Linked DNA regions of Tamandua tetradactyla. The protein of the gene in region 1 purifies or fractionates together with the protein of each later gene. This does not show direct contact. Links are inferred from orthologs where the notes say so. Each region holds a gene or a part of one and is shown on either strand. Other genes may lie near its edges.

The links. Proteins that work in one complex are often made in the same cells at the same time.
Region 2: the proteins of EXOC3 (region 1) and EXOC7 purify together in Homo sapiens (affinity purification with mass spectrometry; 5 studies listed by BioGRID and IntAct, counting the BioPlex papers as one, with this or other methods). This does not show direct contact. The link is inferred for Tamandua tetradactyla from reciprocal best matches to the Homo sapiens genes EXOC3 and EXOC7.

The regions. Positions count from the first base shown.
Region 1 is NC_135335.1:48,919,168-48,926,751, forward strand, and holds the start of EXOC3 (exocyst complex component 3), read right to left. Parts: upstream 3,006-7,584; 5' UTR 2,957-3,005; intron 1,272-2,956; 5' UTR 1,225-1,271; coding exon 1,081-1,224; intron 1-1,080. UniProt on the Homo sapiens protein: Component of the exocyst complex involved in the docking of exocytic vesicles with fusion sites on the plasma membrane.
Region 2 is NC_135332.1:16,546,681-16,554,445, forward strand, and holds the start of EXOC7 (exocyst complex component 7), read right to left. Parts: upstream 3,004-7,765; 5' UTR 2,852-3,003; coding exon 2,792-2,851; intron 2,568-2,791; coding exon 2,502-2,567; intron 1,442-2,501; coding exon 1,257-1,441; intron 1,075-1,256; coding exon 969-1,074; intron 1-968. Other genes in the region: uncharacterized protein LOC143686572, read right to left, coding at 6,509-6,608, 6,880-7,186. UniProt on the Homo sapiens protein: Component of the exocyst complex involved in the docking of exocytic vesicles with fusion sites on the plasma membrane.

The DNA.
Region 1 (7,584 bases):
AATTATTATAAGAGACCAAAATGCCTAAGTCTCTATTACTAATGATCAATTAATGCCACACGTTTCTAGAACAGATAAACATTCAGGCATAAAACGTAGTAGGTTCAAGCTATTCTTTAACCTGAAACTGCTGTCTCAAACTAGTCCAACAGGATCTTCAGATGCTCTTTTGACACAATTAAGTGACCTTTACCTGGTCTCACTGAACCTGCTATTTATTACCTGGGTGCTAACACACCTTTTCAAGTTTAGGAATGACCTCAATGTCCTACTAGTGCGAGAATTAACTTTTCCACCAAGGGATTTCCCTAAACCCCCAAGACCAGTCAACATCTTCCTGTCTACTACAGCAGGCCGTGGTTCTCACATCAAATAGCTGTACTGAATTTGCATATTTTAATAAAACCTCAACTAGTCATATTAATTAAGTTGAGAGCCAGTCAATCCAAATCATAAAATATCTCCGAGAGGCTTTTCTCCCTGATCCACCCTTTCACATCTTTTTTGACAGTGCTGGGTTCTCCTCCTTCTTCCTGCCTCCAGCACCCGGTGGAATGCCTGGCAGAGGGGCAGCTCTTCAGAGCATTTGCTGAAATGGTCTAAACAAAATGAGCACTATGGGAACTCTAGAGGATAGCATCTAATAAGTCAGAAGAGTCGTCGCTATTCCAGTATTGCTCAAAAGATAAACAGACACTCCTGGAATGTCTGAGCATGCTTTAATATGTTGCTCCTTTGATATTCTCAATATTCTCCCTGACTTCTTTGTATACTAATTGGTAATACATTGTTAGAAACAATTTGCTAACTACAGGTAAAGTTCAGCCTTGTGTCTTTCCTTCCATAGCATCAGAAGGTCTAATTTAATAGGTGTAACAGTGAAGTTCAACAAATAAAAATGAATTATTTAGGGTGGGCCACAGTGGCTCAGTGGCAGAGATCTCGCCTGCCATGGCTGACACCTGGGTTAGATTCCCAGTGCCCATGAAAAAAAAAAAAAAAGCAATAATTTAACAAAGGAACCTAAAATTCAAGAATGATTCTGCCCTGCCTAGAAAGATGCTATCTCTGGCTCCATACCTTTAATCTGGCCTCCACAGAGGCCTTTTTCCGAGCTTCTCTGCGGCGGTACTGCTCCACTTTGTCCAGCTGGTCAGGGCGCTGAAGCACCTGAGCCACCCTTTGGACTGCAGTTGCAATGGGTTCCCGGTCTGTCTCCTCCATGGTCAAAGAGCAGGCAAAATTTCCACCCCTGTCATACTAGAGGTGTCCTTTGTGTGTGGCAGGAGAGAAAGATATGTTAGGAAAGTAAAGATGTTAGGTACAAAATGTATCTCCACTCCCCATTCCAGTCAGTTGGTCATAATGTGGCTATGAGGAGAGTGTTTGAGATCATTCATCCAATACATTAGAAAGAAAGCTCAACTAGGATGATGAACTCCTTAACAAGAAAACAAACCTTATGGGAGAAGCAGCAACATTTCACAGGCATGAGAGATGTAAACATACGCAGACATTTACATGTGGAGCCTAAACCACTTATCATGTCAGAATGCCAGTTTCTAAGCACTTCTCTTCCCCTAAATAGGGCCAATTTGCATTTCTTAAGCCTTTATGCTACCCTTAGCCACACTGGCATGGCAGCTCTGCCAGGACACCTTAGTGACAACAGGTGCACACAGGTGCCAGCACATACTTCCACCACCCCAGCTGAGTTCCAATGTAAGTGCTGTGATTCCCCTCAAAACCTACTGTGAGCTGGGGTTACCCAAGTTCTATCACCTACATACAAACATAGACCTAGAGAACAAGGGTGAGAGGGCAGAGGACAATGTCCTCCTCTGCTCACGAGGCAACAAGGTATAGTGTACAGAGTGCACACATGCTCAGATTCCAAGCAACCTGCCTTCAAATCCTAGTTCCACTATGTCACAGTCACTGGGTTGCAAAGGGATAGCTACCTGGTAAGGATGATAGCTACCTGGTAAGGATCTGGCCAAAAAGCAGTCAATAAGTATTAGATCCAATTGACTTTGACTGTTATCAATTTTTTTAAAGATATGAAAAAGATTCACCTTCTCCGTGAATTTTTCACTATTCATTCCCATTTGCTTTCACAAAAACTCTGAAATGTAGGATGGTTGTTCATCACGTGTTATATAATTCCACCCTGTTCGTACATATCACTCTTGTCACTTTTCCCTTTCAATTACAACTATACTGCAACCACCATCTTTCCTTTTTCTTTACTTCCCCTGATAATAAAATCACTCATACCAATGTAAAAAGTCTGGACAGGACAAAAAAGTACAAAGCAGCAATCATCCTTAAATCCTACCATCTCGAGGCCACCACTTTTAATAGGGTTTATTTCCAGTCTTTTTTTTCCCTTTGCATTTCTTTACAAGTTGAGATTATATTGCGAATACAATTTTGCCATGCTTTTTTGTTCTTGTTGTGTTGTGACATGTTATCATCAGCATTTCCGCTGACACTAAAACCTGTAGGATTTCCATCACAAGGGTGGATAATCGGAGAAAGGGCACCCAGCCGCCCCAGGCAGGTGCACATGGCCTACCTGGCCCCATCTCGAGGCGGGCCGGCCCGCCGAGCTCGCGCGCTATCTCCTCTGGGGGACAGGCGGGGCCGTGGGGGAGGAAGACGCTACCAGGACTGGGCTGGCCCTGGCAGCAGAATCCAGGACGTCCAGCCCTGAACTGCAAAGCAGACCGAGACCACGCTCGCTCGGAAACGGCTCCAATCGCAGCCTGAAGACAGCACGATTTCGGCCACGGGTAGCGCGCGGAGCCACCGCCCTCAACACTGACAGGGTCTGACCCAACTCCCGGCCGTCCAACCCGCGGCTCCCCGCAGCCGCCGCCCGCCCCGCCCGAGCCGAGCGACTCCCGGCCCCGCTGCAGACCCCCACCAGCGACCCCGGCCCGCCGCTCCTCACCGCCGCGCAGCCGCCGCCGCCCGCGCCCCGCCGGAAGTAGGCGGCCGCTACTTCCGCTACCGGCGGCGCGGCCGGAAGGGCGGCTCCGGGGCTGTGAGAACAGAACTGGGCATGTCCTCGCCCCGCGGGCCACGTGACTGCCTGCATGGGGGTCCTTGCCCCACAGACCGGGGAGACGTCAGGACGGGGTCCCCGGCCCAAGGCGGCGAAGATCTGATAGAGCTGACCCTGCCTGAGCAACTCCTCTGACCCTCTGACCCAGGCCCTGCCTCTGCCTCTCCGCTTGTCTGCCAGGCTGACCTCTTGGCTCTTGGGCTTTGCAGCCGCTTTCCCCTCCGCCGGAAACCTCCCCGCCCCCACCCCCTTCTCAGGGCTCACCCTCACCAAACTCGGGCTCCGCCGCATTTCCTCTCTATAACCCTTGACCTGCCTATGTGAAAGAGTCGCTGTACCTCTCTTCCCCTGTTTTATGTTTTCTTTACCAGTTTCACTACTAACACTGTACCGTGTTCATTTGTTTACAGTCTGTCTTCCCCACGGAATGTGCTGGGGGTCCTGTCTTGTGTGCTAAATAAACCCCAGGAACTACCCAGACCAGGCAGCCGTCTGTAAATGAAGGAATGGAACTGTGGAACACCCAGTGACCTGTCAGTTACACCTGACTGTCATGATTGATGCACACAGAAAACTCAGTTACTCGGTGAGCTGCCTTTTGTAGACCCTTCAATCAAAAATGCGTCAAACTCAGCCCCTCAAGGACCACAGAGAGGTCAGAAATTGATGTGAGAACAACCGCCGTGGGATTGGTTGTCACAGAATGCGGAGAGCAAGGGGGGTAAGTAGCATCTGAGGTCTGTGGTTCTGGCTGGCCATGGAAACCAAGCTGCGTGAATCTTGGGATAAGAGAAGGGGTGTTCAGGAGAGGAGTCAAGGGGGAGCAGGAGAAGGGCACCCTAGCTTTGGGAAACTGCTGAATGGGTCATGTAGAGCATGTGAAATGTGGCAGAACGTGATCTGGAAAGGAACATTTGCACCCCACTGCAGAGCTCTGTGTCATGTAAGACTTTTGCATGTCTGCAGGGGAGCATCATAGGTTTGAGAAAGGTAACTAGCTGCAGGGCAGAGCATGAACTGAACAGGAGGTGGCATGAACCGAGGACTCAGTTCGTCTGCCTAGTCATGCAAGCCACATTCTTGAAGTGCTTGCTGGGAATCCATTGCTGGCGTCTTCTGCAGAGGCTGAAAGGCTTAGATCTGATGCCAAGCCCAGGGCAGGCACACAATATGAGAAACACTGGCATTCTATGGGGGATTTGCTTGTGCTGGGACTAGTGCGTGGGATGTATGTGGAGGGCACTGGACCTGGATGTAGGGTCAGGGCACAGGAAGGCTTCATCAAGGCAGTGGCCAGGAGCAAATCACCTGGGATAAATGGCTGGGGCAGGTCTCAGGAACTGCCGAGTGGAGTGTGAGAAAAGGCATTTCAAAGGGCAAGGCCGTGGAGGGTCAGGCCTGTTTGCAACCCTGGAAGCGGTATTTGAAATGATGGCAACCCGCAGTGGCAGACCCCTGAGTTTTACTCAATGGAGGAGTTACCCGACCTGACCTGCACTTCACCTGAGTGAGTAGGAATCCTGTTGGACTAAGCCACTAAGAGTTCAGGGTTCGTCTGTTGTGGCAGCAGGCATTGCTTACCTTAACAAACTGCCGGAAAAGGAAATTTTTCAATATTTTCCCAACTGCCACCTGAAAGTCAGCCATGAGAGTGGAAATCCGGAGCGGGGTGAGAGCCAGACAGGAAGGAAGATGGGGGTAGCGAGGAGGGGAACAGCTCTAGGTGTGTGGGCAGGGAAATGGGGTGCAGCAGCCTCCCCTGAGGGGCCCCAAATAAGGTGGCCAGGAACAACCTGCCTGTCACGTGACCACTGTGAAGGCCACAGCTGACTATGTGCAGGACTACAGCCCCACACCCTTAGCTCACCACTCCACATCAGCACGCTCTGTGCAAGAGGACAGAACCTGCTTCTTAATTTACACAATACAGCAGTAGGTTCAGCAATGAAGATGTGCAAAGAGAAAGTTGAAATTATGAAATTATAAAACCAATAGGAAAAATGCCAAAATTACCAAAGCTTTCAGAACTGTTACTTCAAAAACAAACAAACAAAGCACAACAACAAAAGTCAGCACTTGAAATAAAGACTCATCTGTCAATATCTGGCAGTGTGTTTGAATGTAGCACTCCCTAATAGCTTCACCAATTAATCACACTGCTTAGGGAATAGGATGCTTTATTTAAAAGCTTTAATTTTTCCCCTCCAAACTCAAAAACAAAATCTTAAAAATCTTTCTTGAGTTATGATTTTAGCAGACAGATAACTGAAAAGATTTCTTGAAAACATAGATGGATAAATACATTGGATAAATGTAACATCCTTTTAAATGCATCATTGAGTTCACCAGAGACTACAGGAGATGAGGAGGGTGCACAAACAAAGGAGGAAGAGGAAGTGAGTAGCAGAGATCTCCGCTGCCAGGCAGGGAGGTTTGCTGGGGAGGGTGAATGGTTTAGGGGCTTGGTTTTTTTATACTCCTGCAGAACAGAAGATGAGGCTAAGATTGAGCACATATGAAGCCAGTATACTCATAAGGGTGCACCCTCCATGAAAGGTAACCCGGGAAAAACAAAACCAGCTTCCCCTTGGGAGAACACCAGGAAGTTTGTGTAACTCTGTCTAGTGGAGAAGCCTGCCCTTCCCATGCCCCCTCCCCCTAAGAAGTCATGGCTCTTATTCTGCTCTTTACTTAAATTAAATGATTCAGATTAATCCTGCAGCTCCCCGGCCTGGAAATGATTGCTGAAAGTCATCCATTAGCAGAAGCAAACGCTGGAACATTTCTAGAGAGCCACCCCTGCACCTTGACGGGATCTGATGCAAAGCCATTTCTGAAGATCCACCCCTCGGCTTTGTCCTCCCTGAAAAAGCTCTACCACAATACAAACTTATGAAACACACGAGGGGATACCTGTGAATGAGCAGCTTGCCATTCTACTATGAATGGGATAAACTTAAAAAGCAGGATTAGACCCTGAGACGGAAGAGGAAATAATTGACTTGGAGACGTGTCTTAGGAAATTGCCCAGAAGGTAGCACCCTGCCATCTCTGTTGACCTCCACATGCATGCCAGCTAAATTCACTCAAGAAGTAGGGTAACATAAAGATATGCTCAGGCAGACTGAGAGTTTACCAAACTGGCAAGATCAGAACGTTTGTGCTTTTTGTGATTACTAAAATAACATTTAATGATATAGATCAGGAAGAAGGCAATGGAACTGAGAAAGGAGTGAGATATAGGAAGAAATAATGAACAAATAAATTGGTAAAATGTGGCTTAATCTAAGCAAATGTCAACTCGAAGATGAGGGTGGTAAATTAAGTGGAAAAAGAAAGTAGCGTTAGGATCCCATCCTAAAGCTGTGTCTCTTGATCACGCCATGTGTCCCCCAGGCGGGCAGAGGCAGCTGCTGCACACAGCCCCTTGCCCACCCCAGGAGCAGCTTCCCTGGCTTCCCTGGCCCCAGGCATGTGGCACCTCCAACCCTGAGGGCCACCCTCGCTTCCCTTCAGCCGTTTGCCAGTCCCAGACCCAAGAGCTTGCCAGAAAATGGGAGGGTGCACGGAGGGTCTCCACAACCACTGCCTTCTCTGTGACCAAGAATAAAGTGAGAGTGCAAGGATTTAAAACAACGCAGGGGATAATGTCAAAGGGGAGTGAGGTAGATGGCCTTAAAGCATGCTAAGGTGGTTGTCACGTTCTGGAGGAGAATAGAGACCTTGGTTAATTTTCAACTTAAACTTTGTTAAATAAGAATGTCAAGGATAACCACTAAGGGAATAGGATCTGTACTGCGTTAGTTTGCACGCTGCCAGAATGCGATATGCCAGAGCTGGAATGGATTTTTAAGAAGAGGAATTTAGTAAGTTAGAAGGTTACAGTTCTAAGAAAGTGAAAGTGTCCAAGTTAAGGCACCAACAAGAGGTCATCTTCACTTAGGAAAGGCTGATGGGTCCGGAGCCCCTCTGTCAGCCAGGTAGTACGTGGCTGGCACCTTCTGGTCCCTTGCTCCTGGGCTCAGTTGCCTTCAGCCTCTTCCTGTGGAGGCTCCTCACTTTGCTTCTCCAGGGCTGGCCTTCATCTCTTGACTTCCCTTGGCTCTCTCCAGGCTTGGGCTTTCTTAATTTCTTATGGTGGTATCTGCTGGGCTCCAAACATCAGTGTCTCTATTTTCTGAAGCTACTGTTCTTCCCGTGTCCGCATCTGTGTCAGCTCTGCTGTGAAGTTTCTGTCAGTTCTGAGGCTTCTGTCATTTCTGAGGTTTCTTCTAAATGTTTCCTCTTTTAAAGGATTCCAGTAACCTAATGAAGACCCACCTGGAATGGATGGGGTCACATCTCCATCTAATCAAAAGTTAATACTCACAATTGGGTGTGTCACATCTCCATGGAGATAATTTAATCACGATGGTCCAGCCTACATTATTAAATCAGGATTAAAAGAAATGGCTGCCTCCACAGATGGAATCAAGATTAGAATATGGCTTTTCTTGGGTACATAATAGATTCAA
Region 2 (7,765 bases), on another chromosome or scaffold:
GGTTTAATAATCTTATGTATTCTCCTTCTCCATCCCATCCCTGCACCCAAGTTCTAGTACAGAGCTCTGCACACTACGAATGAAACTTGGGAGTGACCCTTGAGAAGAAAATGCTCTGCAGTCCCTGCCATCCCAGTCTCTGAGACACAGGCTCCCTCCCACCAGCTGTTTATACCAGGTAGAGCTGGTGGGTCCCCACTGGGTTATAGGAGCGCCAAGGTATCAATCCCATCAGCCTTCAAGGCAGCCAGGTGGGCCCTTGGGTGGCCGGGGACCACCGTCTGGTTTCCAGTTTGTCCCCAGGTGCCACACAAATATTCTCATTTCTGATGTATGCCATGATGGGGGAAAAGCCAGGAAGCACTGCTCTCAGCAAAAGTTTTTGGTCAGGAGAAAAGACAGTTTCTCATCTCTGTTCTTCAGCTCATGCCTTCTTTTGGGCAAGCCACACACCTCAGAGTGAGACCTGTAGTGTCACCAGAAAGGTACACCAGGAGACTGTGTTCCAGATGGCCCCTCCCCTAATACTCTTACTCTCTTGGCCCCACTCACCTTCTTGGGTCTCGGGGCCTCCTCTCCCACCTTTCCTCTGGTCTCCAGCCTCTCATTCTCTCAACACAGAGTAAATCTCACTTCTAACCCTTCTCCCACCCTGCTCTGGTGTCCTAATGACCCCAATACTTAGACGCAAAGACATCACACAAAATATAAACACAAAACCGCAAATGCATTTATAAAAACTAAATGTAAAATTTATATCATATATACTTTAAACAAATTACAAAAACAGAATAAAAATGTAAGCCTATAATTTCCGAGACAGAGATCTTAGTGTCTGGAGAATCTGAATTCTACTAGATGTTTTTGTTTATTATACTGTATACTCTTTTAAGCTGGCCAGGTATTTCCTTATGAGACCAGGGAGGGATGTTTCCCAGCCCTCTCCCTTTACTCTGCTGGCCCCTTACCACTTTGTTGAGCTCTGGGCTGTCCGGGCTGTTGTCCTGGAAATACTCCACAGCCTTCTGGATCTTGGCCATGCTTCCCAGGTACTCCTCCAGCCTACCTGTGGGGCTGGGAAGAAAAGGAGCCTGATCATGCTGGGGAGCAGTGGAGGGGAAGGATTAGGCCATGGTGTTTGGAAGAAGAAGAAGAGAATTAACACTAGACCTAAATACATCCTACCCCTCCCTTCTGAGGCCCAGAGCTGGTGGTCCAGGAGGCATTAGGGATGTGGCCCTCCGGCCCTGGCTCACCCCTCCCTGATGATCTTCTCGGTGTCACTGGCCACATGGTAGTAGCTGATGACATGATCTAGGCAGGACAGGGTCTTCTCCACATTCTCCTGCAGCCGCTGCAGATTCTCTGTCTGCTTGTGCACAGGGATGATGGAGTTCTCCAGCTTCATAAGGCGGCTCTCAAAGGATGACAGGATAGACACCTGTTGGGAGAAAGTCTCTGCTCTAGGGTGGTCCCAGTTCTGCTTCCTTCTCATCAGCAGGTCTTTGGCAATTCCTGCCTTTTCTCTTGTTTTCTAGACAATAAGCTCCAAGAAGGAGGGACAGGGCCTACCTGTTCACTCCTGCCTCCCCAACATCTAGCATAGGCCTGGCAATTAAGAGGTGGTCCCCCGCAAATTGGTCAGTTTGAAGGTAAGCTAAGTATCAAGTTAATTCCTAAGATAATCATTCCAGGATGACTTCTCTTCTACCCTTTGAAGCCAAATCTCAACTTCTGGTCTCTTTGAAGTTTTCCTAGACTGAACAGGAAGTTGTTTCATACAGAATAGCCTCAAAGCATTTGCTGGCACCTTCAAAATCCTGTCTCTAAAGGGGGAATCTCATTATGCAAGAAATAGGACTTCATCACTGTGTTACCGAATGCAAATCCGTTTGTTTCTATTCAACTTCTACCCGAACGATCTCAGCTAGGAGTAAACAAGGAAGCGAATATTTATTGAGCACAATTGTATACCAGGCACTGTGCAAGATGCATCCATTCATATGACCTTCGCAGTCACGTTGAGAGGTTGACATTGTCACTGTTTTAGTACACAAGTCAACTACAGCTCAGAGTCAACTGCCTGGAATCACACAACTGTGTGGAGTAAGCGCTCCTTCTACCCCTAAAGTCCTCTGGGGGTGAAGGCTGAGTCTTCTATGCTCTCAGTAATTTCAAATCTCAAAGTAATCTCAAAATGCCACCCCTACCGGGACAGTCTTGAGTTAAGAATGACCCAGGACCAGGACTACTCAGTCTCACTAAATGTGGCAAGAGAAAAGGAAGAATGGAGAGCCTAGACAGAAAGCAGAAAGTTCAAGTCAGCGGGGGCTGCCGGGTCCTCAGAGATGGGGCGGAAATTGGAGGAGGGGCGGGAGGTAAGAGACACCATATCGTTGCTAGAGAAACCCATCACTATCCACTCCAAACCAGGCCCTCGGTACCCGGCACCTCCCGTAGCAAGGCTCCCCTCCGCCCCTCCCGGCTGAACACTTTCTCACCATGTTCTTGGTGAGCTGGTCGCTCTTCTCCAGGCTGTCTCTGATGAAGGACAGCGTCTCCTCCTCCTACGGGGAGCGGAGGGAAGGACATCACCAGAGGCCGGAGGCTAAGGGAGATTCCTGCGTGCTAAGGGAGATTACTGCGTCCTCGGACCCCCAGCCTCGCCCCTCATCTGAAACCCATCTCCTCACACCCCCTCCCACCCGCGCCTCCTCCCGGCGTAGGGGCCCGGCCCGGATCTCGGCCCCTTTCCCTCCACCTCCTCCCCCGATTCCCCACCATCGCCCACCTGCTTCAGTTTGTCCTCGATCTCCCGCCGCCGAGCGGACGCCTCCTGCGGGGGGATCATCGCTCCCAACCCTGCGGCTCCCGGCTCCTCAGTATCTTTCCCAACAGTCCCACGGGGGTCGCGTCCCTGCCACACCCACTTCCGTCTTTAGTCCCGCCCCGGCACCGCGCCGGTGCTGCCATGTTGGGAGAGGCTGGTGGCAATGCGCCTGCGCGAGGCTCAGTAACGGGCCAAGGCGAGCGGCCATCTTGGGTGTGTCTGGGAAGGGTGGCGTTCCTCCAGCGCAGCCCTTTCCCCCTGGTGTGGGTTCCCTCCCCCTGCGGAGAAGGTACTCGACCGATGTCATTCTGCCCGTGGCTGCAGGGCGGTCTCGGCTTGTTTACCGGTTGGAAGACTGACTTTTTTTTTTTTTTTTTTTTTGCATGGGCAGGCACCAGGAATCGAACCCAGGTCTCCAGCATGGCAGGCGAGAACTCCGCCACTGTGCCATTTGACAAATGGCCGCTGGGTCCATGCTCCAGCACTGAGTGCATACGGAGTGCACCACAAGACAGGCGCCCAATATGTGCCCGTTTAGCGAAACCGGGGCTGGTGTGTGCGGCCCTCCGTTAAGGATAAAGCATATGGAGCAGGCCCTGTGTGCAGGACCCAGGCCCGGGGCCGGACAGGACACTTGCCCTTGGTCCTAGGAGGGTGCCCAACCATAGCTGGCCTTGTGCCGGGGTCAGCCGAGTACACGGGGCTGGCAGGATTCTCAGAGCATCTCTCTTGGGGCCCCGGTGCCTGTCCTCCAGGCCCCACGTGTGGGGAGAGAGAGCTGTGAGGTTTTATTTTGGGGGGGCTGAGTGGCTTCTGCTGAGAACTTACCTCGGCCAGGAGAGGCCACAGGAGGAAGGGGGGCAGGACCGGAAGCTGTCAGGGATTCAGGCCTCAGCACATCATGGCCAGCTAGAAAGAGACTGAGCCTTGCCTGCAGGTGTTGGGATAGGCAGTGAGCATGTCTCAAGGGGCTTTGGGGAAATCAGATGGGCTTAGGGGCTGGCATGACTGTTCTCCAGGTGGTCCCAGTTGGTCTAACCTCAGCTCCAGGGGCGAGGGTCAAGAGATGCCCTTGGAGGGAGTCTCCTGGGTGTTCTGGGTTCCCAAGGATTTTCGGCAGGACCCAGCTCTTCTGCTCACTTAGTGCCCGTCCTTCCTCTGTCACTTCCCTGCCCATCTAACTCTGGCCTCAGCCCTTCGAGAAATAAATGGATCCTCTGTGGATCAGGCATCCAGGCACAAGAAACAGGCATGTGCCAGTGGGTGACAGGGTTTGGGGCGCCAAAGCCATAAAGGTTCTAAGTCACCCCCAGAACCCAATTAATTACAGTGGAGGAAGGAATGAACCTAGGGAGGGACTGGGCAACTCTTCCACTGGGGTGGAAGGACAAATTTCAGACTTTGCGAAGTTTGTAGGTGGCGATGAAGGAAATAGCCAGAGGGCAAAGCCCTGTTGCAGGTGGGGGAGATGAGAAGGCTGAGTCATTATGTAAGGGTACTTGGGATGACTGCTCTGACTTAGGCTGGTGTAGTCCTGAGAACCAAGTAGGGGAAAAGTTTAAACTGTTAGGTTTAAATACAGTAGCAGACGCGAGGGGCAGAGGGCTACAGTGCTACAGGGAAAAGAGCTTTGGCATCCGATGGCCCAACCCTGAGGGTCTCTGCCAGCACTTAGCCTCTCTGAGCCTCTGAACAGCCTAGAGGATGCTCCAGAAAAGATATAAATAAAATCTTGTCCTCTAGGTCTTCGGAAGGGTATCCTGTATGATTGTGAACAAAGTTTGTATACTGTCATTGCACTTTAGTAAATAAACTACATATGTGTGTGCTCTTCTGTATTTTCTCGAATTTCCTTCAATGTTTAAGTGTAATCTGGTTGCCGACTACCATTTACTGAGAGCCCCCTGTATGTGACCTGAACATGACCACCCTTAGACATAAACCTATATATCGGAGACATTCTGAGAAGTGGAATTGCTAAATCCAAATGTATATACTTCAAAAATCTATCGATATCTACAAATTGCCATTCAAAATAGTTGAAAAATAGTTAATACCCCAACAGGAATGTATAATAAATATGCCCATTTCTGCACACTTTTGCCAATCTGATAAGTGAAAAACAGTATCCCATATTTCTGCTTCTTCAATTAAAAATATGGTTGAGCATCTTTGTTATTGACTGTATTTATTTGTCTATAAACTGCCTGTTTAATGTCCTTTGCCCATTTTATATTACGATGTCATATTTTCTTAGTGATTTTTCAGAACTCTGTATATATTAAAAAATTAGCCTTACCCCTGGAGAGAGGGAGGGAAGGATCAGGTGTGACGGTGGGGTTATGCGGAGAAGATAGGATTTAACAGATGAATATGAATCCTGCATCGTTAGGTTGATATCTCTTTTGGTCTGTGGTATTTTGGAACAGTTAGAGGTAAAAGCCTGGGATTGTGGAATTGTAACCCATGTCAGACTCTGAAGTATGTTCTGTGCTTTGAAATTTATAGCTTTTTTGTATGTGTGTTATTTTTCACAAAAAAAAAGAAGGAAAGGGAGTCAATTGTGATGATAAAAAAATATTTAAGCCCTCTAGCCTCCTATATTATGGAGAAGCTAAAGGGAAAAATAGGAGTGGATTGTTTGGTAGCCTGTGACAAATTCTGTCATCTCTCCTGTAACTACTTGTTGAAGAGTGCTTTAAAAATTATGGCTTTTTTTTTAAACATGGGCAGGCACCGGGAATCGAACCCAGGTCTCTGGCATGGCAGGTGAGAACTCTGCCACTGAGCCACCGTTGCTCATCTAAAAACTGTTGCTTTTTTATTTCTTTGCTTGGTATATATGTTGTACTATACAGTAAAAAAGTTAAAAATAAAAAATTAGCCTTTATCATTTATGTGGAAACATTTTCTTTATTTTCTTCTTATGTGTCTTACATTTTTTTCATTGCCGTTTTGCTCTACTAGAGTTTTGATTTCTTAACTTATTCATGTTTATCAGACATTTCCTTTCATAACTATTTGGTTTTGTGTCTTGCTTGAAAGGCTTATCCCAGTCTAAGCTTTTCATCTTATATTTTTTTAAGGTCTTGTTTTTTCTAGATTCTTTTTTTTTTTTTTTAATGTTTACATCATTGAGCCATCAGGGTTTTTTCTCAGACGGATAGCCAATTGTCCTAATACAATTTATTCACTAATTCGTTATTCAACCACTGGTTTGAAACGTGACCTCTATCACACAGTTAAGTCCCTCAGATATTTAGCCCTATTCTTGGTTATATTCTGTTCCACTGAGCTGCTTGTACTCATTCATTTCAGTCCCAGGGCCAAACCAGTTAAAGTAATGTAGCTTTATAATTTGATTCTACATTTAACCTTTGCGGGGGAGATGATCTTCTTCTTTCTTTATTCATTTTTTTTTTTTTTTTTTACTCTAGGAAAAAAAAAAACTTCCTGGACCTTCTCATTTGTTTACGTTTCTCCAGATGAATGTTAAAATCACTCTCACAACTGCAAACTGTGGCCTGAGCAAACTGACTTGAAATCGACTGAAATTCAGGCCTCACTCAGGGAAGCCTGCCCGCTAGAGGACTGGAGGCCAAGTGAAAGCCTGGAGGGGGCAGTGCTGGAGCCATGAAGTGGCAGGCAGGGAGAGGTGCCCATCTGCCAGGAAGAGCCTCACAGGCAAGGGCTGGAGCAGAGCTGCAGCTGGTGGAGGGCAGATGAAAGGGCAGGCGTGCGGCTGCCTCTTTGGCAGCTGAGTAACTGTCCTTGGGTTCTAAGACAAGAGCACAAGGAAAGGCAGCCCAGAGGGGCTGATGGTATCCTGTTAGGCATAAGGAAGTCCTCGGCCACCTTCTTAGGGGCTGTTGCCAACACCCAGCCTTGGTCTATACACACAGCAGGGCAGGTGCCGGATAGATTTATAATGAAAAAGTGAACAAGAGCTGAGGCCAGCAGGGTGAGGGACAATCTGGGGGCATGGTGGGGGGACCCCTGGGGTGCATGTCCCAGAGAGGGCAGGTGGGAGGAAGGAGGTCGGGGTGTACCTTTTTGTCTGTGAAAGCTGCTCTGTGCTCAGGGAGGGGGCTCTGAACTCCTGGGCAGCCGCTTCTTTGAGGCAGCCAGGACGTTGCTCGGCCCCTCCTGCTTCCTCTTGATGCAGATGTCTTCCTGGGCCCTGGGCCCTTTTCTGGTTGAACTTGAGGGCCGGCTTGTCCTTGGTGTGCTGCTCACAGGGGTCTTCTCGGATCACGTCTTGCACACTCGCAGTGGCGGCCCCTGTGTCTGGCTGGTTCTTGATCCCCTCTTGGCTCCTGTCAAGGGCCCCGGCTGTGGGGTCAAGCTGAGCCGTGGCTGGAATTAAAAAGCCATCTGCAGCTAGTTTAGGAGCCTAACCACCATTGCTTAGCAATGGCAGCCACAGCGGGCGGGGAACCCAGTCATGTAACGGGCGCACGCGCCGTCTCTGAGGTGAGACTCACAGCGACACACTCGTGATCTGCAGAAACACCCGAGCCACAAGCCACAGCAGACAAGAATCTGTATCCCTTCCTGCTCCTGTGTGGACAGGGACCAGCAACCCTGCCCTGCCACCCCCTTTCCTCATCTAACATGAGAGGCAGGGCGGCAGGCGGGATCCTGGTTTTGAGGGAGGAACTCTGCACACGTGCCCCCATGGAAATCAGTAACACGTGGCAACTGGATTCTGTTGAAATCCTGTGGGGCGCTATGGGTGGCACACCTTGGAGGAGAAAAAGCCCAGGTCAGACGGGCCCTTCTGCTCCCGCCCCTGCCACCTACGAGCTGCCAGGGAGGGCCCCTCTGAGTAACACACCACATGCACCGAAATCTCAGAGGATTTGGGTGAATTAAGTGGCATGACATATATAAACGGCCTGGCCCACAGTAGGTACTCAAGAGCGGTTAACCAAT